4 linked regions of the Mytilus edulis genome follow. Each later gene encodes a partner of the first gene's protein in a complex. Links are inferred from orthologs where the notes say so. Each region holds a gene or a part of one and is shown in the gene's direction. Other genes may lie near its edges. The genes, in order: structural maintenance of chromosomes protein 4-like, condensin complex subunit 1-like, condensin-2 complex subunit H2-like and condensin complex subunit 2-like.

The links.
Region 2: structural maintenance of chromosomes protein 4-like (region 1) and condensin complex subunit 1-like share a complex: the UniProt entries of both Homo sapiens proteins name them as parts of the condensin complex. The link is inferred for Mytilus edulis from reciprocal best matches to the Homo sapiens genes SMC4 and NCAPD2.
Region 3: the proteins of structural maintenance of chromosomes protein 4-like (region 1) and condensin-2 complex subunit H2-like are in contact, whole or in part, in a cryo-EM structure (PDB 9F5W), measured with the Homo sapiens proteins. The link is inferred for Mytilus edulis from reciprocal best matches to the Homo sapiens genes SMC4 and NCAPH2. Residues at the interface, in NP_001002800.1 of Homo sapiens: Ile100, Leu101, Gly102, Pro103, Ile112, Gly113, Pro114, Ser117, Gln1151, Met1152, Leu1155, Phe1227, Lys1228, Ser1231, Ile1232, Phe1235, Tyr1236, Glu1239, Gln1240, Asn1253, Asn1254, Phe1256, Glu1257, Arg1261, Gly1264, Ile1265, Tyr1266, Lys1267, Thr1268, Tyr1269; in NP_689512.2 of Homo sapiens: Arg494, Ile495, Trp498, Glu499, Thr501, Val502, Leu505, Leu506, Gln509, Glu510, His512, Phe547, Cys550, Arg551, Met553, Leu554, Leu557, Gln558, Ala560, Asn561, Tyr563, Val565, Glu566, Ile567, Gln569, Leu573, Glu574, Ala576, Val577, Asp578.
Region 4: structural maintenance of chromosomes protein 4-like (region 1) and condensin complex subunit 2-like share a complex: the UniProt entries of both Homo sapiens proteins name them as parts of the condensin complex. The link is inferred for Mytilus edulis from reciprocal best matches to the Homo sapiens genes SMC4 and NCAPH.

Annotation. Positions count from the first base shown.
Region 1 is NC_092346.1:88,614,391-88,622,278, forward strand, and holds the start of structural maintenance of chromosomes protein 4-like, read left to right. Parts: upstream 1-4,865; 5' UTR 4,866-4,934; coding exon 4,935-5,007; intron 5,008-7,888. Other genes in the region: UDP-glucuronic acid decarboxylase 1-like, read right to left, coding at 1,696-1,777. UniProt on the Homo sapiens protein: Central component of the condensin complex, a complex required for conversion of interphase chromatin into mitotic-like condense chromosomes.
Region 2 is NC_092356.1:7,065,736-7,073,654, forward strand, and holds the start of condensin complex subunit 1-like, read left to right. Parts: upstream 1-4,909; 5' UTR 4,910-5,020; intron 5,021-6,769; 5' UTR 6,770-6,777; coding exon 6,778-6,895; intron 6,896-7,669; coding exon 7,670-7,745; intron 7,746-7,919. Other genes in the region: uncharacterized protein, read right to left, coding at 309-497, 4,118-4,656. UniProt on the Homo sapiens protein: Regulatory subunit of the condensin complex, a complex required for conversion of interphase chromatin into mitotic-like condense chromosomes.
Region 3 is NC_092350.1:23,512,427-23,520,314, forward strand, and holds the start of condensin-2 complex subunit H2-like, read left to right. Parts: upstream 1-4,865; 5' UTR 4,866-4,944; exon of another isoform or gene 4,945-4,960; intron 4,961-7,888. Other genes in the region: lipase maturation factor 2-like, read right to left, coding at 2,919-3,121, 3,606-3,656, 4,427-4,520. UniProt on the Homo sapiens protein: Regulatory subunit of the condensin-2 complex, a complex that seems to provide chromosomes with an additional level of organization and rigidity and in establishing mitotic chromosome architecture.
Region 4 is NC_092347.1:57,141,575-57,148,574, reverse strand, and holds the start of condensin complex subunit 2-like, read left to right. Parts: upstream 1-3,990; 5' UTR 3,991-4,101; intron 4,102-4,431; exon of another isoform or gene 4,432-4,594; intron 4,595-6,781; coding exon 6,782-7,000. UniProt on the Homo sapiens protein: Regulatory subunit of the condensin complex, a complex required for conversion of interphase chromatin into mitotic-like condense chromosomes.

The DNA of each region.
Region 1 (7,888 bases):
TATAGGACATATCATCCATACTTAAAGTATTTATTCCAATGTGGTTAAAACATTGTAGTATTTATTATGTACAGTTTCTTGACAAAAGCATAATTAATACTTGTGTTCATTTAAAAAATGATAATATTATATTTTTTTCAATTTCAGAATTCATAATTTTCTGATTACTTATTGATTTAACTATGACAGAAATTAATCTTCCATTTTGTGGGTCTCATAATTTTCATTAGTATTCATTTTATTTTTCAGCTTGTTTAACACTTGAGATTAAATGAACATTTTGAAAATAATAATAAATATAAATACATTTAAAAGTTATACATGTTATAATAACCGTATACAGTTTTTACATGTACATGTCTTATCACAATACTTTATAAATAAAATTTATATTATACGAAAAAAAAAATGTTCAGAGGACCCGGAAAATAGGGTAAAAACTCTAATTTGACATTAAAACTAGAAAAAGATCATATCATAGGGAACATGTGAACTAAGTTTCAAGTTTATTGGACTTTAACTTCATCAAAAACTACTTTTACAATGACCAAAAACTTTAACCTGAAGCGGGACAGAGACACAGACCAGAAAACATATAAATGCCCATTATAGGGCATAGAAAATTGATTTGTTATTATAATGGTAGGTCTAAATGGGGGCATCATCATGACAAATAATGGTAAATTTTTTCCAAAATTAACAGTAACGATAATTATTTGAGACTGATGAGAAATCTGGACAAGGATATTTTGAGGAATCATTGTAAAATTTTAACCTATTTGAAGCTAACAGTAGCAGAAAATGATGGTTTGACACCTAACGGCTAAGGGCATTACTACTGTACCCTTACTAACGGACCTCAGTATGTATGTATGTACAGGTAAATGCCTCCGATATCCGAAGAACCCCTCGAAAGCTGCGAGGGTACAGTGGCATCCATGTACACTCCCTAACGGGATTAATGGAGATATGTCACTAACGTATATTTATACGACAATTATTTTTACAAGGACAATCAATCCCCACACAACACAAAGGGAGTGCTAGGACACCAGGAAGTCTATTATTATGGGGGAGGAAGCCGAAGTACTCGGAGAGAACAACCGGGTCACTCGGTGGAAACAGACAAACCAGAGAGATATCAGAAGATTGATCTCCAGGTCAAAGTAGGGGGACAACTTTGACCAACCAAGGCCCCCAAAGTACCCATTCTAGTTTAAACTCCGGTCTGGGTACATCAGTATGCATCTGGTGTGATTCAAAAGACTTTCTACTGTTCTAATAACCTTTGGCTTAGTCTGAGATTACTCTGACGTCCAACAGCTGTTTTACCAGACAAGCTAGGGCCGTGGATCGGACTACCTTTGGCCTTGGTTAAACAATAGTCAAGTTTCCCTTTGTCTTTTGGACTTGATTTACAAAAAAATGTACATAATTGTGAAAACAGAGAATAGAATATAATATCTATCTATCTTCCCGTCAAGGAGAAGTTATACATTGTATAATATATTTTGTATGTCCGAAAATAGTTCAAGTTGTGCCAGTTGCAGTATGTCCGCACATAGATGTAATACCAAGATGAAGATGGATATTACATCTATGGTCCTAAACATCTTGCATCTGAAAAGAATATTTTTAAAAGGTTGAAATTAAAGTTGGGACGAAAATCATATAAGACTGTTATATGTAAATTACCTATCAAGATGAGACCAAACAGTGTAATTGCCATGAACTTGTCTTTTACTGTACAATTTCTAAATGGATATCTAAATCTCATATTCGTCTCTCTCCTCTCTCGGTGTTCTAACAAGGAAGATAATCAAGATTAAACCGGAAGCTAGCATTTTGACCAATGCCTGTCGGGAACCACTAATGACAGGACGATTGCCCGGATAGTGACAGGACGGTTGACCGGACGACATATATATAGTCATAACTTTTTTGTTATCCGATAGATTTGTTTAATATTTGTAAACCTGAAAGATATTAAACTATATTTTATGAATATAAAAAAAAAAGAGGAAAAATAATTATTTTTGAGCAAAAAAAGTTGACCGGACGGTATTCACACTTGCCAATATACGCTAAATATATATTCAACTGGTTGACGACAAGTGTTAATATCTCTTTTGTTTTACAATATTTGTCCATGAAACTCAGGAATCTGTGAGATTTATAAATATATTATACGAAAATATAAACTTGATTGCAAAAAAACGTGTTTTTCTCAAAAAAAAGTTGACCGGACGGTATTCACCCTCGCCGATATACGCTATATATATATTGAAATGGTCGACGACAAGTGTTAATATCTCTTTTGTTTTACAATATTTGTCCATGAAACTCGGGAACCTGTGAGATTGAATAATATATTACACGAAAATATAAACTTTAGGGTAAAAAAGAAAACAAATCTGCAAAAAAAGTTGACCGGACGGTATTCACCCTCGCCGATATACGCTATATATATATTCAACTGGTCGACGACAAGTGTTGATATCTCTTTTGTTTTACAATATTTTATCATGAAATTCAGGAATCTGTGAGAATAATAAATATTGGATACGACAATATAAACTTTATAGTGAAAAAAAAAGTTTGTCTCCAAAAAAAGTTGACCGGACGGTGTTCACATTCGCCGATGTACGCGTTAATTATATTGAACTGATACAAATAAGTGTCAATATCTTATTTGTTTTACAATATTTTTACACGAAACTAACAAATCTACGAGATCAATAAATACTTGATATGAAAATATAAACTTTATAGTAAATAAAAATGTTTTTCTTCAAAAAAAGATGACCGGACGGAACAAACATTCGCCGTTATATGCCTTAATATAAGTTGGTAGACCCAAGTGTTTATATCTCTTTTATTTTATCAAATTTATGAAATCTGAGAGATCAATAAGTACTTGATATGAAAATATAAACCTTATATCAAATATGTTAAATGTTGTTCTTAAAAAAAAAAGTTGATCTGAGGGAATTAACATTCGCCGATATTATTATTTAAATATATTGAACTGATCAACACAAGTTTTAATATCTCTTCATTTTTATAATATATCTGTCCATGAAATGAAATAATTTGTGAGATTAGATAAATATTTTACAAGAAAAATAAACTTTAAAGTAAAAACAATGAGCCCAAAATGTTTATGTGAGCGAGTTCACCAATGCATATTAGAAGTAATGATATTTAATCAAATTAATCTAATTTTGACACTTGTTGTAATCACCAATCAAGCCAAATAACATGTCATTAAAGTTTTCACACCTGAGACATCAAATACATTTAATTGAATTACCTTATAATCAGTTGGTAATTAGTATCCAATTAAAGAAGAAATTTTATGAAGTTCAGGATTTCAGATTAACATTTAACTCACCTAATAATAACTATTCAATTGTTCAGTCATTTATGCTCTGACTTTCAACCAGTTCAGATCACACAAATTATATTTCTACTATATTTTGCTTTTTGCATGTCTTTTTAAAGACAATTTTCAATATATATTCATTATTGAACTATTGATATAGATAGATTGATAGTTGTGTTACTATCTATATTGCTTTATTCAAAAGCATGTCTTTTTAAAGACAGTTGTCAAACATATATTTATAAATACAAAAGTAAACAGATTGATATTAGTGCTACTATATATTGCTTTATTTAAAGGCATGTCTTTTTAAAGACAGTTGTATAGCCATCATATTAGTACAACTTACCAGTAGACAAAATATCAAAATGGACAGTGGGTCTATTGTCTATATGCATACAGATGTATTACATCAAACAGAAATAGTAGATATTTAATAATATGCTATTAACAATATTATAACCAAAGAAGAGATATTTTAGTCTTGTGTCGATCAGTTCAATATATTAAGGCATATATCGATTGAATGTAAAATCCGTCCGGTCAATTTTTTTAATTTTTTTTTTATTATTTAAATATATAGTTTAATTTTTCGTATAATATATTTATTCATTTCCAATGTTCATAAATTTCAGGGACAGATATGGTAAAAAAAATAATATTAACACTTATGTCAATCAATTTATTATTATTAACATATATCGGCGAATGTTAGCTGTCCGGTCAACTTTTTTTTGAAGAAAAATATTTTTTTTATCATAGAGTTTATATTTTCATATCATATATTTATTTATCTCGCACATATCTCAGTTTTATGAAAAAATATTGTTTACAAAAAAAATATTTACATTTTTTGTCGCTCAGTTCAATATAATCAACGCGTACATCGGCGAGGGTGAATACCGTCCGGTCAACTTTTTTTGCAGATTTGTTTTCTTTTTTACCCTAAAGTTTATATTTTCGTGTAATATATTATTCAATCTCACAGGTTCCTGAGTTTCATGGACAAATATTGTAAAACAAAAGAGATATTAACACTTGTCGTCGACCATTTCAATATATATATAGCGTATATCGGCGAGGGTGAATACCGTCCGGTCAACTTTTTTTTGAGAAAAACACGTTTTTTTGCAATCAAGTTTATATTTTCGTATAATATATTTATAAATCTCACAGATTCCTGAGTTTCATGGACAAATATTGTAAAACAAAAGAGATATTAACACTTGTCGTCAACCAGTTGAATATATATTTAGCGTATATTGGCGAGTGTGAATACCGTCCGGTCAACTTTTTTTGCTCAAAAATAATTATTTTTCCTCTTTTTTTTTATATTCATAAAATATAGTTTAATATCTTTCAGGTTTACAAATATTAAACAAATCTATCGGATAACAAAAAAGTTATGACTATTTATATGTCGTCCGGTCAACCGTCCTGTCACTATCCGGGCAATCATCCTGTCATTAGTGCAACCCATGCCTGTCTGCCTTACAAAATTTGTTTTGGGCGCCATTTTCAGATTTACAACAACAACAAAATTTTAAAAATGTCAGAAGAAATGGAAGTTGCGACCTCCAACGCGGAAACATCTCCTCAAAGAACGCTTAATCTTGAAACAGGTAGTTCACGTCTTAAAACACAAAAGGAGAAAACACATCAACCTTCAAAACCAGATTATTTTTCAAATCATCACAAATCATCAAATGTCATCAAAAATTTATAGAAGTTCTAGTTCATGTCTTTTCACCAGCTGCTGTCATACATTATAAAGCATATCATAACCATCTTGCTTCTTTTGGTATAAAAATAAAACAGCAGGGATTCTTAAAATTAAAGACCATTTTCGTCCATGCAGAATCCAGGTTCGTTCGCCCAAGGCTGAGATATAGAACAGTATAGATGGAGTATTATACACCTTAATGCTATTCCCAGCTGATCCAAGAATCTGTCCTGCGTGGACAATAGATGTCATACAACAATCACTTGTCCATTGTGGTGTCAGATTATTTCATGACGTCAATTTTTTTTTAGGTACCTCAGTAACCTGTGTCAAGTCCGACAAAGAGCAATAAGGTGTACATGTATTTGGGGAGGGAGGGGTCTCAACCCAGATCCCGCTAATTTTTTAGTGAGAATCCTGTATCCTGCTTCACGTTGCCATAATGGTGCATGTAATTTCCCGTGTCCTACAGGACTTCACTTAAAACAAATCTGTCCCGCATCACGGTTAGACCCCAATGAAACCCCTATAGATATGTTTCTGGTAAGCACCAAAAAAAAATGTTTGCTAATATAAAGATCAATTAATGGATATCACTACTTAGGCTCTTGCACGAAGAACATTATACTCCAAGATCAAAACTGGCATTCATGATACAAAGAAGCTCCAAGTTTGTCATCAGGTGTTGAAATAGTATAGAGGGATGGTGATATATATGTTTCCAGCTGTAGTCGCATGTAGAGTGGACCCAAGTGAACCCATAAAAAACAACATTTTTTGGATTAGAGTAAAACTAATCTGGGTACAGCAGTCTAAAGAAAGTCATTGCACAAAAAAAATCCAAGAACTTACTGATTTTTTACTTCTATTTGACCTGCAACTGGAAGTACAAAATGTAGTCATTTGTATGCATATTTCAAAGATAATTACAATCATTTATGATAAGTTGTATGTCTGAGGGTTTACACTTTTTTTGAAAGTTTTAGGCCTCTGAACTGTGTAAAACACTGAAGGGAAGCCCAATCCTGAAAACCCATTTTTAACCAATTTAAATTTTCCAAGTTCTTATTTGCACTCTCAATACACTGTATTACGGTCAGTGTTACGCAATATCTGATAATATAGTTTTACCTGAGCCAGGCTTATCTCAGCCTTATCGGACTATGTTATCATGTAATAGACTAATAGTGTAAATGATCATCAAGAAGATAGATATTTTCAGAAGAAAATTAAAAACTTCAGTGCAGAAATTAAAGAAATAACAATCAACACGGGTACGGAATCGCCGCGGCTTCTGTATAATGTCACTAGTAAATAATTCCAATGGTTTTAACTTTAACGAAGTTTGGTTTATATCTACCTGCCAAAGATAGGTTTTATTATAACAATAATGCACACGGAAGCGTAAATAAATGTCAAACTACGGAAACCACGAAACTTGTCAGCTGTTCATTAAAATATATTTTTTTTTTAAAGTTGTATACCAATTACGGTATCTTAACCATATTCGATTTTATTAATTCTGAATGAACATGTTCTCTGCAAACAACAAAGGGTGAAATCAAAGCAAAAGACATGATGGAAGTAGAAGTTTTTTTCAGATCAATGACTTCTTATGAAAAGGGGAATACACCTCCCTCTACACTCAGCTGTCAGTATAAGCAGATGTTATAAATGCTTCTCCTAATCCCAACTGAGCTAAGTTTTAGCAAGTGATAACAGCAAGCACCATGTTTCTGGTTTCAGTGACAAGTGACTGACTGAGTTTTCATGGCTTAGAAATGTTCAGGGGGTATAAGCAAAAGTTATTATGAGAGGGGGTTTTCAACCCTGAAGAGGATTAAGACAACATTGAGGAACAGACTGTCCAACAAAATAACACTATCTTGAAACAATATCCCTAGAAGTAGCAGAGAGTACAGAGATGAATATTTATATTTTGACTTCTTTAATTGACTGAATATAAATAACTTTTGTGTTTAAAATCAATTTATTTCATATAGTATATTCTTGTATAAATTCAATAATACTCTGCATTATTAAACACACAACACAAAGCAATATTGCATGTTATGATTTATGACTGATTGATTCAGATCACAAAAAGTTCACTATAAAAGGGGTTACACGCCCTTTAATTTTGTGCCTTAAAAAATCCTGGGGAGAACACTGAAATAACCTAATTCAAAGCCTCCTTAATTATTTGACAAGGCCCTGTTTAGTATGTACGAGTCTACCTATTGCTGTCAAATGATGAGTAATTTTTAGCACATTGATATATTATTAACCATGGTAACTTGGGTATCTCCATCTGGCAAATCACTTATGAATTCTTAGTGAGCCAGCTGCTTTTTCTTGCTGACTGACTGATTACCTTGATTTAGATCCTAAGCTTGTTTACACGGAAATCCTAGTCAGCAAGTTTGTTTTCTTATTGCTTATTTCTCATATTTTTTTAAGGAAAGTCCAACAGTCAGTGAGAAGATGAAATTTTCCTCTACATCTACATGTTCATATACATAATTTATTATTGACATCTGGAGATCACGAATATCTTTAATTGTTTTTACATAGGCAGTAATGATAACGTTTTTTCCTGTAGCTCAGTCCATATCGTAAACTTGGATATGTATGATAGCTCGTTTCGAAGCTGTGACATTTTCACATATGTGGTTAAATTTTCGGGGTACGAAGTGAGATTACTTTTTTCGTAAATTACCATACCCTGAACCAGTGATATTGTTTGCCTTGAATTAGTGGAGAATAAAGGCTTTTTCCAC
Region 2 (7,919 bases), on another chromosome or scaffold:
AGAAATCACTGGTGGGTGTTATATGTTGCAAGGATATCATACATGTATAACAGCTCCAATCGGCTACTATTTTGTGATACATGTATACATGGTATATGTGTGTGTTTGTCCCTTTAATGTGAATCAACATTTAAGTTTTGACTAATTTAAACTTTACTTTCAATTCTTTAATTAAAAATAGTGTTATAAGCGTTTGTTTATAATCTCTTGTTTATTCTAAGGATATATGAAACTAAAAAAAAAATGAAGGCCAACCTGATTATTACACACTACCTACATGACCTAATTTCATTCTTATAATATCCTACCTTGGACTTGACAATTTATGTGGCTCTGGTGGAGCAATCCTTACTACATTGGAACTCCTTACTGATGGTGATTTCTGGTGACCTAAATATGACCTTTCTCGCTTTATAAGTCTAACTGCCGGAACAAATCCTGGTGATGCTTGTGAAGGATAGTTTTGGTAAGATGGAGGAACAACTGAATTTTCCTGTCTGAAAATAAACATTTAAAACTAATTACTGTAAATGCTGAAATTATTGAGATGTTTTTAATAATGCAAAACAAAAAGCGACTGGGTTACAATCCCAATAATTTAAACTCACATTTAATAAAAATTTATATGATTAAATCGCAAAAATTAAAATTGTGTTCTAGTCTAAAATGACAAAATCACTATAATAAATACACGCAATAAATTCTGAATTTACAGTAGTATACAGTAAGCATGGTTATAAAGAAATTTATTTTCTAAACCCATAAGATGGATGACCACTTGTCTTTTCCTGAAAAATATTACTGATTAATTGTTTGTGTTTAACGTAACATTCAGCACTCTCTACATATACATCTACATACATGTAATACTCTTTAACTTCAATATGTTGAAGATTACAAGAATGCACAAACTAGGGAAAAAATTTAAAATCTGATCATATAAACAATATTTTCAAAAACATTTTTCATGGCAACCCAACAGTTCTTGAAAATAAGTCACATGCCAGTCATGTGGGTTGACATTGATTAAGATTTCGTCAGTCTAATCTTTTACTTGGCATTTTGCATACATTGTACATGTATATGACATTATTTTCAACTTTTTTGTAGTTTCAATGTAAAATTGCCAATTTACAGAAAGACTTAAACCTATAAAGAATTTATTTAGAGCATCATTTTACTAGATTTCTTTTTAATCAGACATTATTGGGTCTTTGTCTGCCCACACTTTTGAGATGTAAATACAGAAGGTGGACTGGACCCAGGATGGGGTAATTGTAATCTGTAATCCTAATCGATTGTAATTGATTACATTTTTTTCAGTAATCGACAGTAATCTGTAATCGAAGACATTTCGATTACATATAATCTTAATTTAATCGATTACAGCAATTATTATGATGTAATCATTGATTACTTTAGTAAAATAGTTTAATGAAATATATCCTTTTTTAAATGAAAATAAGTATGTCTTCATCACTTTATAGTACAGATAAAATAGAAATTATTAAAAAAAACTTCAGAGTTTATCAAATGCCTAATTTGTATCTTTTGTCTATAGCTACATTTTGATCAACCAGATCTCCTACCAAATTTTACTGTATATAATCAGCTATGAAACAATTGACTATACTGTCTTCAATGCTTGCCAATAATTTAAAGACCTTTTATTTTGAAATAAGAAAATAGATAAAAATAAGAAATGAGTCTTGTGTTAACCCTTTCAACGCTATACACGGCATATGCCGCGATGACATACGCCGTCCGCCACTGCTATTCGCGGCATATGCCGCGATGACAACGGATTTTTCATAAGGACTCGAAACCATTCGGTTTTCATTCGGGTCCTCTCTTATTTTTCCTTGTATGAATTGAAGATATGCAAGGTCTCATTTGCGCTTGAAATCCCGGCAATTTTTATTGTAAAATCATGCAGTAGAAGGAAAATTGGAGGAAAATAAAAACAAATATTTTGACAAATGCAAATGGCGGAAATCGGAAACGAAGCTGTAAATATGGAAATATTTCAGCATTTCTATGGCGAAACTGATGACGAGGATTAGTTAAAAGTTTCTTGTTATCTCAATGTGTTTATTACATTCAATTCGTGTGGGAAATATGATTTGATCGATCATTACGAGACATAGAAAAAGGGGGGAAAACGGAGGTTGACTGAAAATTTTGAGGACGGAGCCACTGATTTGTGCCATGATTACATAATACGTTGTGTATGGTGCAATACGCTACGGAATCGAGCAATTGGTGTCTTCTTTATTATATGGCAGATAAAAAAACAAAATAGATGAAGACGAAAAGTAGTTTTTATTCAAAATTCAACACAAATGTAACAAATTACACCTTTTACCTGTTAATTACCTGAAAATGCAGGTAACCTGATAAAAATTTTACTTAAATAACTGCCTAACATTACAGTTCATACTCTCCTGAGCATTTTTCATGCAATAACTTTTTCTGTATCTCTTATAATAAAAAAGATACAGCAGTCTGAAAAGGAATATACTGTTCTAATGAATGAACACAAAAAAAATGCAGCAGCAGCAGCCATTTTTCTATTTTTTTGTGTAGCGTTGAAAGGGTTAAGTTCTGTACTGCATTGACATTGAAGCTTAGTTTTAAATAAGAGGTGGAATTTTAGCTAGAATAGATAAACAGTTGATTCGTCATAATATTATGATTTAAAAAATTAGAAAGTTCACAAAATCCTTTTGACAATGAACCGATAACTATGCATTGAAATTTTGTGCAGGATACCTGTATCCCATTTTGACACTAAAAAATATATATTGTTTATAATTTTGAATATAGCATAATAAAATTTCAACTAACTTATTGTCTTTACCAATCAGATGATCAAGGATTTCTAATCAATGAGATGCCAACTTTGTTTTGATTTCAGTTATGTCTAATTAAGAGGAGATTTACATTATATTGCCCCAGTTATAAAATGTATCCCATTGGCAGTTTTATAATCTGTATTTAGGAAGGCTATCCAAAAACCCGATTATTTCATGCATGTATTAATTATAAATATTATAAAATTACATCTTTAAAATTAGCTGAACTAGTTAATTATTCTCCTTTTTTATATATTTTTTTCAGAGGAAACTTCCAACATTGAAATGAACTATATTCAAATATACGTGTTAAAAATGAGTAAATACAAAATACCTAACTTACGTCAGTATGACAGCAAAAATTTGCAAAACATGGAGAAAAAAAAAAAAATTTAAAGAAGTGACCGAAACCAGGCCATGTCAGTGCAAGAAATTTATCACTACTCACTCATGTTGAAAACCAAAAATCAAGAATTTTTAAATATTTCTCATCCTCAGTAAGAGCTTCCATCAAGAAAACAACTGTTAACTTAAAATTTAAAAACAATGCTTTAAATGCTGTTTTCATAAAGTTCTAAATTTCCACTATACATACGTTGAACTACATAGTTATGTTTAACTTACTTATTTTATTGTTATTTTGTAGCATGTAATTGACAGTAATCGAAAAGTAATGTAATTGCAATTGATTATTAATCGAATACACAAAAATCCTTCAAGTAATCGATTACTTTTGTCAGTATCATGCCCATCCCTGGACTAGACATATATGCATATAGTCATTTGATTGTACATGTATTAACTTCTATAAATTGGTTAAAGATAGACAAGCCTTTTGCAGTTACAGAACATCATCACACAAGTTAATAATTGAAATTAGAAGATAGATAAATATGTCTAGAAATATATAATCTGTCATCATGGTCATGTCTGTTGTAAATGTAAAAAAATAAAAATTGGGAATTTTTTCTTTTTATATCAAAATGTGACTAATACCACAATGACGGAACGTAAGTGTTTTTTATCATTATCATATCTAATAAAGTTGGGAAAAAATATCCAGTTAACCGAGGCAGTGTTATCCCATGGCCCATATCATACAGACATGGGGTAATTGAAATATGTAATTGTAATATGACATTGCAGTTCGGCCGCACCGTTAAAATGGTTTGTTTGATCTCGAAGTGCCTTTATTGGCAACTGTTTGATAATACTAGAAAAATTCTCTTTTATGGCAGCACCTGTCTCATACTATCAATTACCTTGGTGAGTATTCTGATACCCCGAGTGCTCTTTTGATCGATGGTAAAAATGGTGCTGGAGATCTTGAATGACCATTTGTTGATGAAATGGACAAGTTGCCATCCGAGCGATCTTGAAAAGAGCATGAACTGTTAAACAATGACGTCCGGAGATATGGAGACGGAGATGAAAAAGTCTGACTTCTGTTAATTGATGTTTTTTGTCGATTTGGGCCTGGTGTCAGTTTGACTGTGGATGGCATTTCTGCTTCACAGTTTGCATTAAAAAACTGTTTGAATGATGAATCGTAACTGTTCTTCTTGTTGCTTAATTTTATTTTAGTTTTCTTTTCATGTGAGAATGGTTTCGTCTTTTTCAATTTAAATGCTGTTAATTTTTGAGTATTTGTACTTTTCCAGGAGCCGTTTACGACATTCGAGCCCCATATGACAGCAACTGCTAAAACTGTGAGTAAAACAATACTTTTAAAACTTAAATATAACAATATCACAGACGATAACAATAAAAGGATAAGATAAAAGGGCTTAAAATTATTCATTTTTGTCCATCTCGGGGTTAAAAGATTTTCTCATGCCGGCCACTTTCGGTTTGGAGATTAATGATTGCTTCCGGTCGTCGGAACTTTAAATAGATTTTCAAATTGATTGGTCTATTTAAATTTTACGTTTTCATCAAATCATTTATAGGTTCAAAATTTGGAAGAAATTTGATAAACCTAATCGAAATTATAATTCTATTTTCCTTTGGTCTTTATTTTTCTTTTTTCTAAAAGATGTAAATATAAAGCTTCAATTTGATTGGTCGATATCTCACGCTGCGAAAGGCGGAAAGTTGAAATTTTCAAAGTTTGTAAACATTGTGGAATGATCAGTATAGTATTGACGCTTAGAAAGTTAAAAGAAGTAAGAGTCTACATTACAAGTTATGCTATTATACTTATCATTGATTTATAGATGAGAACAGTTATAAAGGAAATGCAAGAAGGCGTGAACTCATAATTTTGTTGAAACATAAAAAGGGGGGTTTCCTTGAACATTGCAAGGTTGAGTTATTGAAAGTTTACTAAATGTTGAAACTTTCTAGATATCATATCTTTCGTAAGAGGCAGTACGATCCTTCAAACCCTTGTGTCATGTATTCATTCAGATCCCTTGTTGCTGTACCAGTTCCCGCAGTACTGACTGAAGAAACTCCCTGTTCTGTTCACAATACATCTTATCGCTATTTGAAATTATGAGTATTTGTCTGACATCATAAAACAAAATATCTGACGCTACAACGAAAAAGTGATTGTTGTATACATTTTTACGTCAATAGTTAAAGCGGCCGGGTCAGCTGGAATTACTTCTACTACCACTAAGTGACCACCGTCATTTGGTTGACTATCCTGTTTTAGCGATAAGGTGTATAATTTGACAACACCATACAAGGTTGGGCTAGCCTAAAGTCAGGAAAAGTGGGGGTTATACAATCAGAAGAAGATAAAGTTGTTCGGTATTCTGTCGTTCTGTCTACAAACTAATCCAGCTCCAAGTTGATCCTTCCCACGTCGATCCGGCCTCATAATATAATAATGAATACTAATCTATACTGCCTTTGGAGGATTTGGTGTCAAATTGAAATCAGTATAAATGGAATTTTAAAAATCTACAAGTATCCATAATTGACGACATTATTTTGAATCGATACAAAAATCAGTGTCATTGTGTCTGTAACTCAATAGACTGCTTAATTTTCATTGAGGCCCTTACACAAAATTAAATACATGTTATATTTCTGTCTCCTCTTTTATAGAAAGGATTCGGCAAATCAAACAACATTTATCAATTTTAGAAGTTTTTAGAACTCAAACAAAAATTAAGTGTGTATCAGCTTAGGGATCGGCTTGTGTTGTTGTTAATGTAACTTCCTTATTACACAGGATGACACTTGCTAGGATCACAGTCAATTGGAAACAATACAATTAATGTTGATTGTAATAAATTCTTTTATGTTTTTTATTGTAATTATACCCGTACAGCTTTAACATTATTATAAAATTCATAAACATTTATGAATTACAATAAATATCTTCCTTTTATTCCTTATAGATATAATTTTTTATTGGGGCTGGATCGACTTGGGGCCAGATCGACCTGAAAACAAGTTGTTTCTGTCTCTTACATTGTATATTCAGATTAGAAATTTAAAGTAAATGAATAAGTTAGTTTAGAGATCTGAAAATAAAAAGGGAATGTACTATTGAAAAAGAAATCAACTAATGAACTAGTCTAGAAACTGAAGCAAGTATTTTCTGCAGAATTAACAAAAAATGAAGTGGTTAATTAATTATCGGGAATGAAAATGACAACTTGATTGGCTGGCACTGTATGGACAAAAATATCATCTCTGACCAGCCTCATTACTATTCTGATAATGACTTAACCCCATACTCATGCTGTGATGTTTTAATGTTTGTAAGCCCATTTTTCTACTTGGTTAAAAAAGAACGGTCCAAAAACTACATTTGCGAAATGAGCACAATGAGAATTAAAATTGTAAATAAGTGCAATCACTAGACAAATCTGAAATGTTGTTATGAAGTCTATTTCTATTGATAAATGATTGAAGAAATGAATACTGTTTAATAATCTCTTATTCTTTATTTTCAGTTTTAAAGATGAGTTTTGAATTTGTAATTCCCTCTTCTCGTGATGACTTGTTAAACAGAACAGGTATAGATCACTTTGTTGTCAGTGAGATTGCCACACTGAGAGAGATACCAGGTGCTCTACAAGGTAAATTGAAAAATATTTTGTTGATGAAAATTGAAACATGTTGATGCAGCTGTTATCCATCTTTCCACATCTTTTATTTATTTATCTGTAGTTATTGTACATTTTGATAATAAGAAAAAGTTGAGAAAAGCAGAACAAATATAAGATTAAACAATATATGTAATAAAAAAGCCCAATTCATTCTTTTCTGTTAATTGTGTTTTCAATATTGCTTTCAATCAAATAAGCCACATCAATGATTTGAACTCTTGAGGATTGTTGCCTTATTGGACAATCATACCATGTTTCTTATTTTATACTGATATAAATAAAATACAGGTAGAAATCAGCAGTATTTTAATCTCTATTCAAAATTTTTACAATCTTTATTTATAAAAAGTAAAAACACAAAAATACTGAACTCCGAGGAAAATTCAAAAAGGAAAATCAAAAATCAAAAGGCAAAATCAAAAGTCCAAACACATCAAACGAATGGATAACAACTGTCATATTCCTGACTTAGTACAGGCATTTTCTAATGTAGAAAATGGTGGATTGAACCTGGTTTTATAGCTAGCTTAACCTCTCACTTGTATGACAGTCGCATCAAATTCCATTACATTGTCAACGATGCATGAACAAAACAAACATACTCAAAGAGTAAAAATGCCAAAAATAGGGGTACAACAGTCAATATTGTGTTATCATCTTAATTTTCTTATTTTTCCTTAAACTTCTACTATAACTTACAAGATCAAAGTGCTCTAAATAAAAAGATGTTTTTTGTCTTTACAGAATTGAAGACTGCTTTTCGAAGCCAGGGCAGCAAATGTCTTTTACATAAGTTTGATACTCTGTTCAGTGTTATATGGTTTGTATTCTATTCATTATAACATCGTTTTTAATAATGTTAAAAAATTAGGGAAAGTCATTGTTTTCATTAAAAGCTTTCAATTTCAGTTCAAAAATATTTTTATTACAATTCATTATTGCATTTTATTTGAAAGTGTATTATTATTCAAGGTCTAGATTTTTTCACACAATT
Region 3 (7,888 bases), on another chromosome or scaffold:
AAATTTGGTGAATAAAATATCTTATTCTTTACTATAGGTTAATTTTCAAATTATCAAGTAAGATAATAACTAAATAGTCATGTACATGTACATTTACAATATCTCACTTTTCAAAAGTTTAAACAATACTTATCTCATCCAGTTTATAAGAATATAGTAATTTAAAATTCAACTGAAGTTAAATATATCTGATTATTAAGTATGGTACAAACACAGTACATTGTATCTACTGTGGAGTCATCAACAGAGAAGTCCTTATAACAACTACAGACAGATACAGATAAACATGTAACATCAAGAACAGAATTATCTTAATGAAACCTTCCTGGTATGTAGTCAGAATATCATCTGCAAAAAAACAATCCTTTTTTTTTAATCTTTGTTAACAAACAACCAAGAGCAAACTCCCAACAAAATAATCACCATAACACCTACTTGGTAAAGATGTAATGTCCACAACAGGGCAAATTTCATGACAACTTGAAGTGTACCTGTTAGGGACGACATCAAAAGATCGATGTAGGATAAAAAACTTAAATCAAATAGTTTGGGGGTGGGGGGTCAACATTTCTGCTAGTTTTGTTAATCCAAAATTGATTTTACATATATCCATAAAGGTAAATCAATTTTTCCCAAATTAAGTTAAGAGGGGGGGGGGGGGGGGGTGTCAGTGAAAAAACTATGTGAATTAAGTTTTTTATCCTACATTGAACTTTTGACGTCGTCCCTTATGTTTACAGATATAAGATCAACAACAGAATAATCTTCATTACACACTTTTATTGTACACATGAAGACAGACATAATGTGTACATCAAGGGATATCCAAAGTACACCTACCTGGTATATAGACAAATATAACATCAAGGGATATCCAAAGTACACCTACCTGGTATATAGACAAATATAACATCAAGGGATATCCTAAGTACACCTACCTGGTATATAGACAAATATAACATCAAGGGATATCCTAAGTACACCTATCTGGTATATAGACAAATATAACATCAAGGGATATCCTAAGTACACTTACCTGGTATATAGACAAATTCGGGCGAGCCTGATATTTTTTGTGATAAAGTCAGTATCAAAAACAAAAAGTCCTTTATTCTGTTTATCGGTAATTTAAAAAAAAATTAAAAATCACTACAATAATAGAGAAAATAACAAACAAACTTCTTTTTCGCGTCGGATCACGGCGAATCACACTTGACGTCACAGGCTGCATTACGTCATTTGAAATTTTGTCACAGTGCAGTAAACATTAAACATGGCGTTCTCTTGCACAAAGTATAAAGATTTGAAGGAATTATTGCATGTGTTTCATTAATATTTTGCTTTGGACATGACTCTAACGATGGCAAATATAATGGTAGCATACCGGTAAGTCAAATTTCTGTATTTTTCACAAAGCATCAACAAAGAGGGGGATAGGAGGGTTCCTGATCCCGAAATCCCGGCCCGTTTAAAAACACGAAATCACGAGGTCCCGAATATAAAGTAAATTAAAGTAAATCCCGACATCCCGAAATCACGAGCTTAAAAACACCTGATCCCGGAGTCCCGATAAAGGTCCTATCCATGCATCCATGACCCCCCTCGAGCATAGTAAGTCAGAACATTAGAATGATACGATATGAATCAGCAGATTAATTGTTCATCGATCATCATTTTTAAGTTCAACGACAAGTTATTATAATTATATTTTACTTAGTTTAGTGGATAAAATTACATTTATCTTGTCATTATTCGCTCAGTGTTCATCATGAAAACGATCACATTGATTTCAAATAATTTTAAGGAAGCACTGAGGAGTAGTCCAAATAATTATGACATCTTGAAAGTTTATTATATTTTTTCGTCATGATTATTTGGACTATGTGAGGAGACATTTTAGGAGCTGAGTGACTGTTAAAGTTATTTGTAAATTATCTGAACAAGCTCATTTCTTGCCTTCTTCATAATTATTTCAAACATTTTAATAGACGTCACTAAACTTTTAGCTTAATATAATTCTTGCTTTTGTCAAAGTCTTGTTCATCTATTTTCAACACGGACCAGAAAAATGAAATTTGAGTTTACAGTCACTGTGGTTACCTTTAATTTCTTATGTGAATTTAGGGGAAGGCGACCCGTGTCAGTCACCTCTTAGCTTATAAAGGCTACAATTCAGGTCAAAGCAGACCTTTATACATGTATAGTTTGGTGACCCCGGTTACCCCCCTTTTTAAAATTTATCCTACATGTAGATCCGCAAATGAATAAGTTCACTTTTTTGTTCTTTGTTCTATGAATATCTGTCTTTAAATTGACCATTATTTTCTAGCTTCTCTCATGCGATAGCGGTACCTTTTTGGTCACTATTTATGTGTTGCGTTTAAATATGAATTGCAACACTTTATAGTGACTGAACAGGTAAAACAAATACTTCTCAAAAAACAGAAAAAGAAAACTACTTGGAACAGCACCCGGCTATGTATTGGTATTGTATGCATAAAAACTCGGATTGGAACATCATGGACGATATAATAATGTTAGTCATGTACTTAATATATCAATTATAGATAACACATTTTTTTTAAAAGTCTATCGGCTTTTTCATGCATATTTTGTTTACATTTTGACATCAATTGTTCAAAAAGGCTAAACTAACTTTGTGAAAGTTTCAAACAATGTAAAGTATTTCATCGCCAAAAATCTCGTGCGTTTCTGCGAAAAAAATCATGCGCAATTTTGTGAATGAAAGGGGAAAGTAGATCCTTACGCGTTGTATTCGCGCATGTCAATTGCGTACTAACCCAATAATTTTTATATCACGGCCAGTCCACTGATACTGACATTATCAGTGAGTACACATCAAAGGAAAATATACAAATTACCGATAAAACATCAAGGGATATCCTAAGTAAACCTACCTGGTATATAGACAAATATAACATCCACAAAAGAGTAAAGGCAAAAACATCTCTAGCTGCCTGGAAAAGAAGTGCTGCAAAGGAGATCAGTATACCCAGTATACAAAGGAGATCAAGGCCAGTCTCGGTATCTAATCCAATCATTGGCATTAATCTCAGCAAAGTTGGATGTCCATCTAGCAAATCAGCAAATGACTTTGCAGCTAAAAATATAAGATTGTTAATAATGGTCAGATTTGATAGAGGAACTAAATGAACTGGCAATCACATAAGTAGTGTTGGTAGAGTGTTAATAATTCACAATGTCTTGACTCAGGTTTAGATGTATGATATGACTTTTTTCTATTGGGGACAAATGCATGTTTTGTTTGTTGGTGTTTGGTTTTGTTTTTTTTTTTTTTTTGGGGGGGGGGGGGGGGGAGGGGGTGCTGTCTCAATGACATACAGTGACATATATACAACTTTCAATTCATTCTTTACCCTTTAATTAGAGAATTTAATTTAAGAATCGCAGTAGTGCATGAACAGTTAACAAACTGAGACAGGCCTGGTATCATATGAATAGAATTGTACTTCAATCATGGAAGAAGAATCCTGTTGTACTTTTACAATAGTTTGGTAATAAATAGTACATGTATGCTACAACCTTAGTCTAATTTAAAAATCTTAAAAATAGAACTTAATTACCTTTCCCAACCGCTAATCTAGCTGGCAATATTCCATTGTCACCATATAAACCTTGAATGAAAGAAATTTGGTTAAAAAGGTTTTAATATTTCTGGAATCAAAATCAAAATTTATAACATTTATTTCAATTATTTCAGAGTAAAGCAAAAAGTAACTACAACTTTAGGTAAACACCTAGAAAAGAGTATAATTTCTTTCCAATATTAGAAAAGTAAATGGTACTCAGACTCAACTAAGTAACATACATGGCATATAAACAAAAATATTTGATATATAGACTTTCAATTGATCAGAAGTCAGAAAAGTTGTAAATATTATTTGAGCAGGGGGATGTTTGGATTCAATAGTTTATGACAGATGTAGGGAGTAATGAAGTCAATCATTTATTGTATGTGTCACCATTCAGTATTTATAAGATATTACAGAGTAGGTATTCATTAGGATGGTGAACATTGCTCAAGGTCATTGTTCTGTAAGTATAAAATGCTTTAGATTTCGGTTTAGAAACTGATTAAAATTTACCTAGTTATTCATAATATAAATCTTGCTTTCCAACTATATTTAACACAGTTATACTGTTTCAATAAGTTTTTTTTATATTTATAACTCTTTCAGTTTCATTTCTATAAATGTCTTTAAAATGATGTGCTTGAATTGGTCAACAGAATCTGAACATAGAACTCAAGATGGACTTTTATAAATCAAATTGAAATAAATAGATTTAAAAGATAAGTAATGGGTTATTTATGTATAGCTATTGGAAATCACTTTATGGTTATAAATGTTAAAATCTGAATAAGAGTAAACAAACGGATAGTTACCAGGAATTTGTACATATAGTGATGAAAATGCAAGCAAATATATTGCTGCCATGCCCCATAAAAAGGCATTTTTCGTTACTTTGTAAGATGACATCTTAATGTATAATATTAATAACCAAATCACAACAACAGCCGCTGCAACGGACCTAACAACACTTTCGGACACAGTTGCACTGAAAAATAGTTCCCTGTTCAATAGATGTCAACTACTTCATCAATCGTTTATCTGATCATAATTACAATAATTCACACTACAAAAGATTCAATTAATTTCTTGGTTTAGCTATGATTCTATAAATTTTAATGCTAAAACAAATTGTCATAATTGTACTTTCATTTTGTAATTGGCGGATTAAAATATTCTACTTTCGTTTTTGATGTTAAACAATATTTGATTGGATAAAATATTGCAAGGTGCCCCGTTATATCCAATCAAATTGTTCCTTCAATATTTACCATTTTATGTATTAGCGGAAGCGGGATATCCAAAATCAAAATATAAATATAAAAACTACCAGGTAAATAGTAAAAAAAGTAGGTGTTTATGAAAGCTTTCATCAGTTGTTCATTACGAGCAAGAAGGCTCAAGTTATTCACACCAAAACCCGTCCTCTCTAGTTCATGGAAGGAAGAGAAGCCACAGTTTGAAAGTCAAATTAAATCTAATTTACTGAGTATTACTATATCACATATATGAAATAAAAAAGAAGATGTGGTATGATTGCAAATGAGACAACTCTCCACAAGATACCAAATGACACAGAAATTTACAACTAAATGTCGCCGCACAGCCTTCAACAATGAACAAAGCCCATACCACAGTCAGCTAAGCTATAATTTATAAAAGGCAAATAACAAATGAGGAGGGTTCCTGATCCCAAAATCCTGGGCTTTAAAATATGAAAACCTGAGGTCCCGAATTTAAAGAAATTTAAATCTTGACATCCCGAAATTCAAAAAAAGAATTCCTAGATCCCGAAAGGATCAATCCAGAAATCCCAAACTTAAAAACACCCGATCCCAACGTCCACGTCCTGAAAAAGGTCTTGCCCCACTCACAAATGTAATACAATTCATACGAGAAAACAAACAGCTTTATTTATGTACAAAAAACAACAACTACTGAATAACAGGCTCCTGACTTGGGACAGGCACTTACATACAGAATGTGGCGAGGTTAAACCAGTCAGGGGACTTAAATGTACTTAAATGAGTGATTTTCTAATCACTGATTCAAGTAACATTATGGCCATTAAGGTTGGAAGTAAGAGTTGTCTTCTTTTATAATCACCTATTTAAGTAGTACAAATTAATCACTAGTCTAAATTTGGGTCTTCGTCGATACCATACTTATTCCTGACGTTCCGTATTAGAGGACGTATTTGGCATTTCCTCTGCACTTCTTGTATTATTATTACTTCTTCACGATGACAACAATAATAGTAGAGAGTATCATTAATTGATAAAACAAAACAACAATTCGCTGAAGGCATGTTTACAAAATGTCAAAACAAGCCAAAGACCAAAAAGTGACAAGGACAGTTAGTCGCCTTTTATGGAGACAAAAACTATATTCATAAAAAGACTTTGGGGTTTTTCAACGAAAAAGTAGCAAGCTGAACTAAGTTAAAAGATAATAATTAGAGACAAATCTCGTCTGTACTAGCCAAATTTTACAAATTTAAGGTTGTAAAAAATCATATCATGAATGATGGTTAATTACTTTTTTGGGTAATCAGTTACACCCCATGGTTCTATTATTTCCATAGGAAAACGGGCCTAGGAAAACACCGAGACGTCCCAAAAATATATAGGTGCTCCTATCATTGGAGGAACATTACACAGTTGTGTACACACACATGGCGGCACGGAACACGATCGGAAATCCATTTGACGATATCTAAACATATCTAAACGAAGTGAAAAATATTGTGCGCCACATGGGGGCTTACATAAGTCACTCTATGCGCCATTTCTGGTCGATAGGCGCAGGGCGCACGACCTTCCCGATCACTGATTATATATGGCCAAATAAAAATATATGTGTGGTTCCAGTTACCCTACCTACCCAACTAAATGAATGAATGGGTTATTATAGTGGAATTATAGTTATCCCGTACCATTGTAAACTCGTACCAACGTCAACTCGTACCACTGAAAAAAACCTTGTACCAATGCAAACTCGTACCACTGCTAACTCGTACCAACTTATTCAAATGCATTTAAATGGTGTTTAATGATGAATATAATTTTTTATATACATGATATACGTTACTTTCACTCAATACCTCTTAAGTCTGTTAAATGTATATAATTTGAAAGTACAATGACCAATTTGTAGCTAATGTTCCTTGTCTATTGGATAGAAAATACCGTGGCAGATGTAGATTATTAAAGTATTATCAGTTTTACCCCAAGAAAATATTAATTTTTCATGAATAAATCTTAGCAGTTAATCAAAATGATTTCCAAAATTAAATTCTTACTGTCTATAAATAACAATGAAATGTAACATAGCATTCAATTTGTGATCATGGTTTACAGCTTTAATTAATTTAATTTGGATATATATATTCAACTTAGGGTACAGTTAAAGCAATGTTTTAACTTTCTTCTGGATTAAGTTCTAGTTTGAAAGATCAGTTTAAGCAATAAAGCTTAAAAAACATTCTCTATTTTTGTCTGAGTTTTCATTTTTAACCGGATTTTTGTGACAAAAATGTCGGTTATTGATTTGGGGATGTACGGCGGGCGGGCGGGCGGTCGGGCAGTCGGGCGGGCGGGCGGCAATCAAATGTTGTCCGTGCATTAACTCATGAACCGTTCAACCAAAGCTTTTAAAATTTTAATATGTTGTTACTGACAACTAAATGAAGGTCAAGTTCAATAATGGCGATTTTGACTTTTACCGTTCAGGAGTTATGGTTCTTGAAAGATTGAAAAATGGAGTTGTCCGTGCATTTACGCATGAACTGTTCTACCAAAGCTTCCCAAATTTTAATATGTTGTTACTAATGAAAGAATGGAGGTCAAGTTCAATAATGACGAATTTGACTTTTACCGTTCAGGAGTTATGGTTCTTGAAAGATTGAAAAATGGAGTTTCCAGTCGTGTCCGTGCATTTATGCATGAACTGTTCTACCAAAGCTTCCGAAATTTTAATATGCTGTTACTGATGACAAAATGGAGGTCAAGTTCAATAATGACGATTTTGACTTTTACCGTTCAGGAGTTATGGTTCTTGAAAGATTGAAAAATGGTTTTTCCCGTCGTGTCCGTGCATTTTCTCATGAACCATTCAACCAAAGCTTTTGAAATTTTAATATGTTGTTACTGATGACAAAATAGAGGTCAAGTTCAATAATGACGATTTTGACTTTTACCGTTCAGGAGTTATGGTTCTTGAAAGATCGTAAAATGGCGTTTCCATTCAGGTTGTTGCATTTACTCATGAACCATTCA
Region 4 (7,000 bases), on another chromosome or scaffold:
AGTAAGGCGTCAAAGAAAAAAATTATAATAGCCTTTCAAGACGTCATAATTATTTGGACTACGGAATACTCTGCTTTTGCCAGATAAAAATTTATTTTTCTTTGAAATTGAAACAAGTCTGACTGTCAAAAATAAATGTAAATGAAAAAATGGAATTTCTATCAGGAGGATTAAAAAATTAATAAATCCTTAAAATTTGGTGTTAAATCAAATTTAACTGGTGTACAATCACTGATTTTCCAATCTTCAATTTTATCCTGCTTACTCTTGTTAGCTTGTTGTTTTTAAAGATGGCGCTGCTAAATATATCAACCAATGAAATGAACGGTTTCGAAACGCAGGTAAAAATAAATTATGTACTGCTAAACTCGAAGTCGGACCCATATCGCGGAATATAAATAAATAAATGGAAATTCATTCCACAGAAGTAGATCTGATTGCGTTTTAACATGTTATTAGAAAAAAAAGATCACACAAGCAAAATGGACAATTGTTTTGGTACCTTATTGTAGAAGGTCACGCTTTCATAAAATGTTTATGACGTCTTTACACTTTTAATCAAAGGAACGTATACGGATGAATATTTTTTTGTGTGCACACATATTCAAGATAAAAGGCATGAATTTTACAAACACAATAAATTAAAACTGAGACTACTATAACACATATAGTTATAGTAGTCTCAGATTAAAATGACAAAGATATAGCACTAAACGACATAGTTTATGATTTACATTATTAAAAATTATCATTTTAAAAATTAAATTGTGAATATTGATATTTTGAGTAATTCAAATAGACTAAATTAATAATGAGTGAAATTTAAATTGACTACATGATTATTTTTTAGTTGTTATTGGCATTAAAATAACTTTCGGTAGCTTCGAATATTATTAGATCGATAATCTTATCTTTAGGGACGACATCAAAAGATCAATGTAAGATAAAAAAAAAAAAAAAAAAAAAAAAAAAAAAAAACTTAATTCAAATAGTTTGGGGGTTGAACTGCTGCAAGATTTGGTTATCCGACTTTGATTTTTACATATATCCATATGGGTCAATCAATTTTTCCCAAATTAAGTTTATAGGGGGGTCAGTGAAAAAACTATTTGAATTAAGTTTTTTATCCTTCATTGAACTTTTGATGTCGTCCCTTATTGCGTTCACATTATAAGTTGTGGTGTGCTCTGTATCGGCGATCATTTATATGATTTCAGTCACGGATAATTTGTTCTTATGTTATATCAGGGACAGTCTTTCAAGTGACTAATTTATAGAAATTCTCTAATTAAATCAATGTGCTCTTATATGAATCACTGTTTTGGTGGAGATGACCCCCACGTCGGAATGATGGCTTAATCCCGCAGCATTCAGTATATGAATGTCCCAAGTCAGGAGTTTGTGCTTGAATGCAGTGCTGTTATGACCCTTTGTATCACATTTGCTGTCCGTTTATTGTCATGCCGTTTGTACACAAACCAGGCTGTTGTGTTACCCACACCTCTGTTGTGCTATTTTCAATTATGTACTGAAACGAATTTCCTGTACAGAACCCTTACGGTCCTCCACCAGACTCAAATAGTATACCAGTGATAATTTATATTGTTCAGTGTTATATTGTATAATGTTATACATGTCCTTAGGTGGGTTTTTTTGTTGACTTGAAATTTGTCTTCTGGACTAAGTGTTTGCTTCTTCAAATAAAAAAATATGTATATTTGAATATTTGAATAATTACATTGAACTATTGTTGTGTGCACTTTTTTAATTCTTTTAAAATGCGTGTACTGTATTCGTTGTTAAATAGTGGTTTGAATTATGCCTGCCATCTTGTTTAAATGCCACAGCGCCATTGTAGTGCTTTTTCAAAGTTTAGATGTGATGTAGCACCATTAAAAATTGAAACTGGTCGATATGAAAGAAAAAATCTAGACGAAAGTGTCTGTTTTAACTGTAATATTTTAGAGGATGAAAAACATGTACTTTTAAATTGTCCCTTGTATGAAGATCTAAGACATGCTCTTTTTATTGATAAATTGTGTCATAATGATATGTTTTTAAACTTGTCTGATGAAGAAAAATTTATATATATGTTTAAAAATACCAATATTTGTAATATTGTTGCCAAAACCTGCAATAACATTTTAACAAGGAGAAACAGTATTTTATATCATTAACTACTGTATTTGTAGTATTTTATAAAATGAATAAGTATTATTTGTATTTTAATAGTCTCTCATAATTCTTTTAAGAATGGCACATACATGTATTTAATTGTTTTAACTATGTTTACTGTATAATTAATTTTATAATTGTATCTTGTTTTAATCATGTCGTATGTGGTGAGACTTTAATAAACTTTTGAATTCTAATTGTTTCTTGTTTCTGAAATTTGGTTTGTTGATGAAGTTTATAAGCTTGGCACACTGTTCTTTTGCTGTTCATTTGAGAATGGCCCTTAAAACAGCTCTCGTATGTGTGCAAGCGTTGGGTCAAAATGTTTTGCCTTATCCTGAATAATTTCATTTTCATATTTGCATATATCAGTTTAATGTTAGTTTGCTCCCGTTCTGAACTTAGACACTTATCTAGCAGTCCTTATTCTGAATATACAGGAATCATTTATTACAGGACATAGTTTAAGCAAGACGATAACTTGATTCAGAGCTTGTCTTTTGTACAACCAAAAATTAAAAAAAAATAAGATTTTTATCTTAACTGACTTATACAGTTCAGACATACTGTATCTATAGTGTTTAGATTGTAATGCCATTAATATACCCCCACTCCTTTTTATAGTATATCATTTGACAACAATTTGAAACTATATTCAAAGAGTGTTTTATCTATGACATCATTGAATCAATGTTTTTTTTTAATTCTTTTTGTTACATGTTTTTGTGTGTTTTTTTTATGATCGAGTCGACTTTTTTAACGTAGTTTTAAGATTTGTTCCAATGTGACTGCGATTTTCACACTACTACACTAGGTTAGGAAGGAGTGAGTTTCACAAACATGTTACCCCCGCCGCATTATTTATGTTACTGTTCGAAGCCACTTACAAGCAATTATTTACATTTCAAAATTTCTCTAGCTTTCAACACCTTTGCATCCGCGACTCGGCGATGGAAACAAATTCAGGGAAAATGGTGACATCTTGTTATAAAAGAACTCATCTTTTTCCAAAATGAAATTCGATTTTAAACTTTGTTAACGATTGAAAACCCAGTTTATCACTTCTGGATCAGATTACGCGGCGGATACGAGAGCTAGTGACATTACCCTTTGTGGTGATCTGACATTGTTCACATATTTGTCCTCTTGTCTTTTTGGATTACAGTTGTCTCATTGGAATCCGTACCATGCATATCATCTTATTCTATTTTATATTCAATCTTCATATCTAATTTAGGTTTCACCTACATTTTGAAGAAAATTTAAGCAGCATTGATAATAATATGCCTTATTTAAAGAGAGTGAAACCAATTTCTCGCTGCATTGAAGACCTGTTGGTGACCTTCTGCTGTTGTCTGCTCTATGGTCGGGTTGTTGTCTCTTTGACACATTCCCCATTTCCATTCTCAATTTTATTATATTGTGTTCTAATCTTACTTGTGGCTCTCATAAAGTTAAGTGCAAATTGCTATAGTACACTACACAAATGCTTCATTCAAAGTAAGAATTAACGATAAATAAATTATATAGTCACTTTTTTCTTTTAAAATCAATATGTAATCTTGAATTCGTGAATACTGTACATAATGCGTATTTTGTAATATATACAATTGTGGATGTTATTTATACTAACCTTTACTCTTTGTCTCAGGAATAAGGAGGTGTGCTTTTTCTAGTAACATTTTAATGGATACTTATAAGATACATATGTTGTTATTTTGCTACTTTCTTTTGGTTTGTTTGCTGAATTTGAAACGTTTAGACGATGAAAACTATTATTACGTGTTTCCATCTTACAGAGGCATACACGGAAATGCAAATAATGTCTTAGTGTGTCCCTATTTCTCGCAATTTCTCGTCCACAAACGAGACCATACGGATGGCGGAAACTTCAAAACAATAGATAAGTTCTAAACAACACAAAAGGTGACTTTATAGTGTAAATGACAAAACACATATACAAAATTACAAAACATTCCCAGTGAGTCTATGAAATTATCAAACTGTGTACCCTTTAAGATTGTTTAAATCAAATGAGAACGGGTTCACTTCAGTCTTCATAATTTTTTATGAATATCAAAATAAACCGATTTATCATGTTTATAGTGATTTCTAATAACAAATATGTAGTTTATACATTAAAGATATTTTTAGGAACGAATAATAGCATGACAATTAAGAAATATAAAAGAACAGAAACCGCTAAACACAAATTATGATAGTCAATATTTAAAATGTTTCAAATCTTTTGAAGTTGTCTCCCTTTTGATAGTTCTTCAGTTTATTATTGTCTGCACATGTACTGATGCAAAACAGAATTTTGTTGATTATTCGCAAGTTATATGTTGAACAATGGTTACTTAATACTAAATATGAGGAATGACAACACATTATTATTTTCAAATTGTTGGGTTGTTCAGTAAGTACATGTAAAGCATACATAAACTGATACAGGAGTAAAAAAGTGTTTTTCAATTTTGTATTATATTTAATGTTTTAAATAATTGTGAAATACTGTAAGCTTTAGATATGCCAGTTGTTTTTGTATTATGCATACAGTCAACACTATACAATCTATAATTGATAATCTACATGTACAAAAAATGTATATACAAATGTATTCATATTGATTTCTTTAATTCATCCTGTTGTTTTCATGCATGTAACAAGAGAATTTGGGCCTGGCACTGCAAATACCTGTCACAATAACAGGAAAGAATGAAATTGCCATGATGCAATAGGAGAAAATCCTTTATACTCTCTTAACAAATGTAATACTCACAGCAAATCATTCTCAATGTATTAAATTAATGGACATCTGTGTTACAACTTCAAATCCACAACTGGGAGAGGAAAATTAAACATTTTGAAGAAAGTTTTTCAGTTGTACAGTACATGTATATGTACATATTACACATGCTAGAAAATAAACAGGGATGCATTTTAAAAATTGTAAATTTATATTTAATGTTATTTGCAGTGATCTGGAAGGATTATTTCTCTTTGGGCCCAGGGCCCCTCAAAATTAAATTCAAGGGGCCATTTTAAAAAATAATGGGCCATGTTGTCAAATGAATGGGCCATTTGAATTGACTACAGTGAAAAAAGTAAAAAGTGTATATCTCAGCAAAGAGATGGTGGTACTTACCTTAATGATTTTAAATAATATTATAGATATTGTGCCTGTGATTTTGTTATTTCAATTCAACAAAGAATGTAAAATAATTTCTTCCAAACCAGATAATATTTAAGATATCCTTTATTTACAATGTTTCTACTGCTACTGTTGTCTTGTTCATGTGCATGAGTTTTTTTACATTAAATTTGGGTCTTCGTCGATACCATACTTATTCCCGACGTTCCGTATTAGAGGACGTATTTGGCATTTCCTCTGCACTTCTTGTATTATTATTACTTCATCACGATGACAACAATAACAGTAGAGAGTATCATTAATTGATAAAACAAAACAACAATTCGCTGAAGGCATGTTTACAAAATGTCAAAACAAGCCAAAGACCAAAAAGTGACAAGGACAGTTAGTCGCCTTTTATGGAGACAAAAACTATATTCATAAAAAGGCTTTGGGGTTTTTCAACGAAAAAGTAGCAAGCTGAACTAAATTAAAAGATAATAATTAGAGACAAATCTCGTCTGTACTAGCCAAATTTTACAAATTTAAGGTTGTAAAAAATCATATCATGAATGATGGTTAATTACGTTTTTTGGGTAATCAGTTACACCCATGGTTCTATTATTTCCATAGGAAAACACCCGAGACGTCCCAAAAATATATAGGTGCTCCTATCATTGGAGGAACATTACACAGTTGTGTACACACACATGGCGGCACGGTACACGATCGGAAATCCATTTGACGATATCAAAACGTATCGAAACGAAGTGAAAAATATCGTGCGCCACGTGGGCGCTTATATAAGTCACTCTATGCGCCATTTCTGGTCGATATGCGCTATAGGCGCAGGGCGCACGACCTTCCCGATCACTGTATTTGAACTTTTCAAAATTTGTAAATAAATGCATTTGTCAATTAGTTCCTGAACTTGGTTGCATGAATTCTACACATCTGAGGTTTGGCCTGACTTTTCCATTGTCACTAATTACAATTTCATATTTTAACTGGGGAATTCCTGTGTGTAGACTAACAAATAAAAAATATCCCCATTCAGCAATTAGAAAGCTTATTCCTATGTACATGTGACAATAAACAATCAAATAAACTTAATAGTGTATTAATGTCTTCTTTATCTTTGAATGCACAATTTTACAATTGGTGATGGACACTAATGGTTAAATAAACAATATTTAGCTGAGTTCCCCAAGCTGCATACATGTACATTGGTCATCAATGACAGAATGTAACTCTTTTCACTGGAAAAAAACCTTGTATATTTATTTTCCACTAAAATAAATTACTACAAGCTGCTTCTATGATCAAAATCAATTTCTTATTAAAAAAGCATATCACTTCAGATCATAAAATTGTCAACATAGCATTAAAGAAAAACTAGAGAACCAAAGACTGGTTAGTGTGACTTCTTTAATTTACACTGATTAACAATTGAACAATTTTTGCTTTCTATAGATGCCCAGCAGGTCAGATGTCCTCTCTCCTTTGACAACGCCAGCCATACAGAAACGGTCTGGTATTAGTAATACAGTTGGTAGTTTTGTGTCTCCATCAACTAGCAGACATAAAGGAATGGATAGTCCTGTGACTATGTATATGGAAGAATATGATGCTGGTACTGAGAAGCGTGATCGACGTCGCTCCAGAGCATTAGAATTGAAACAAACTGTTGGG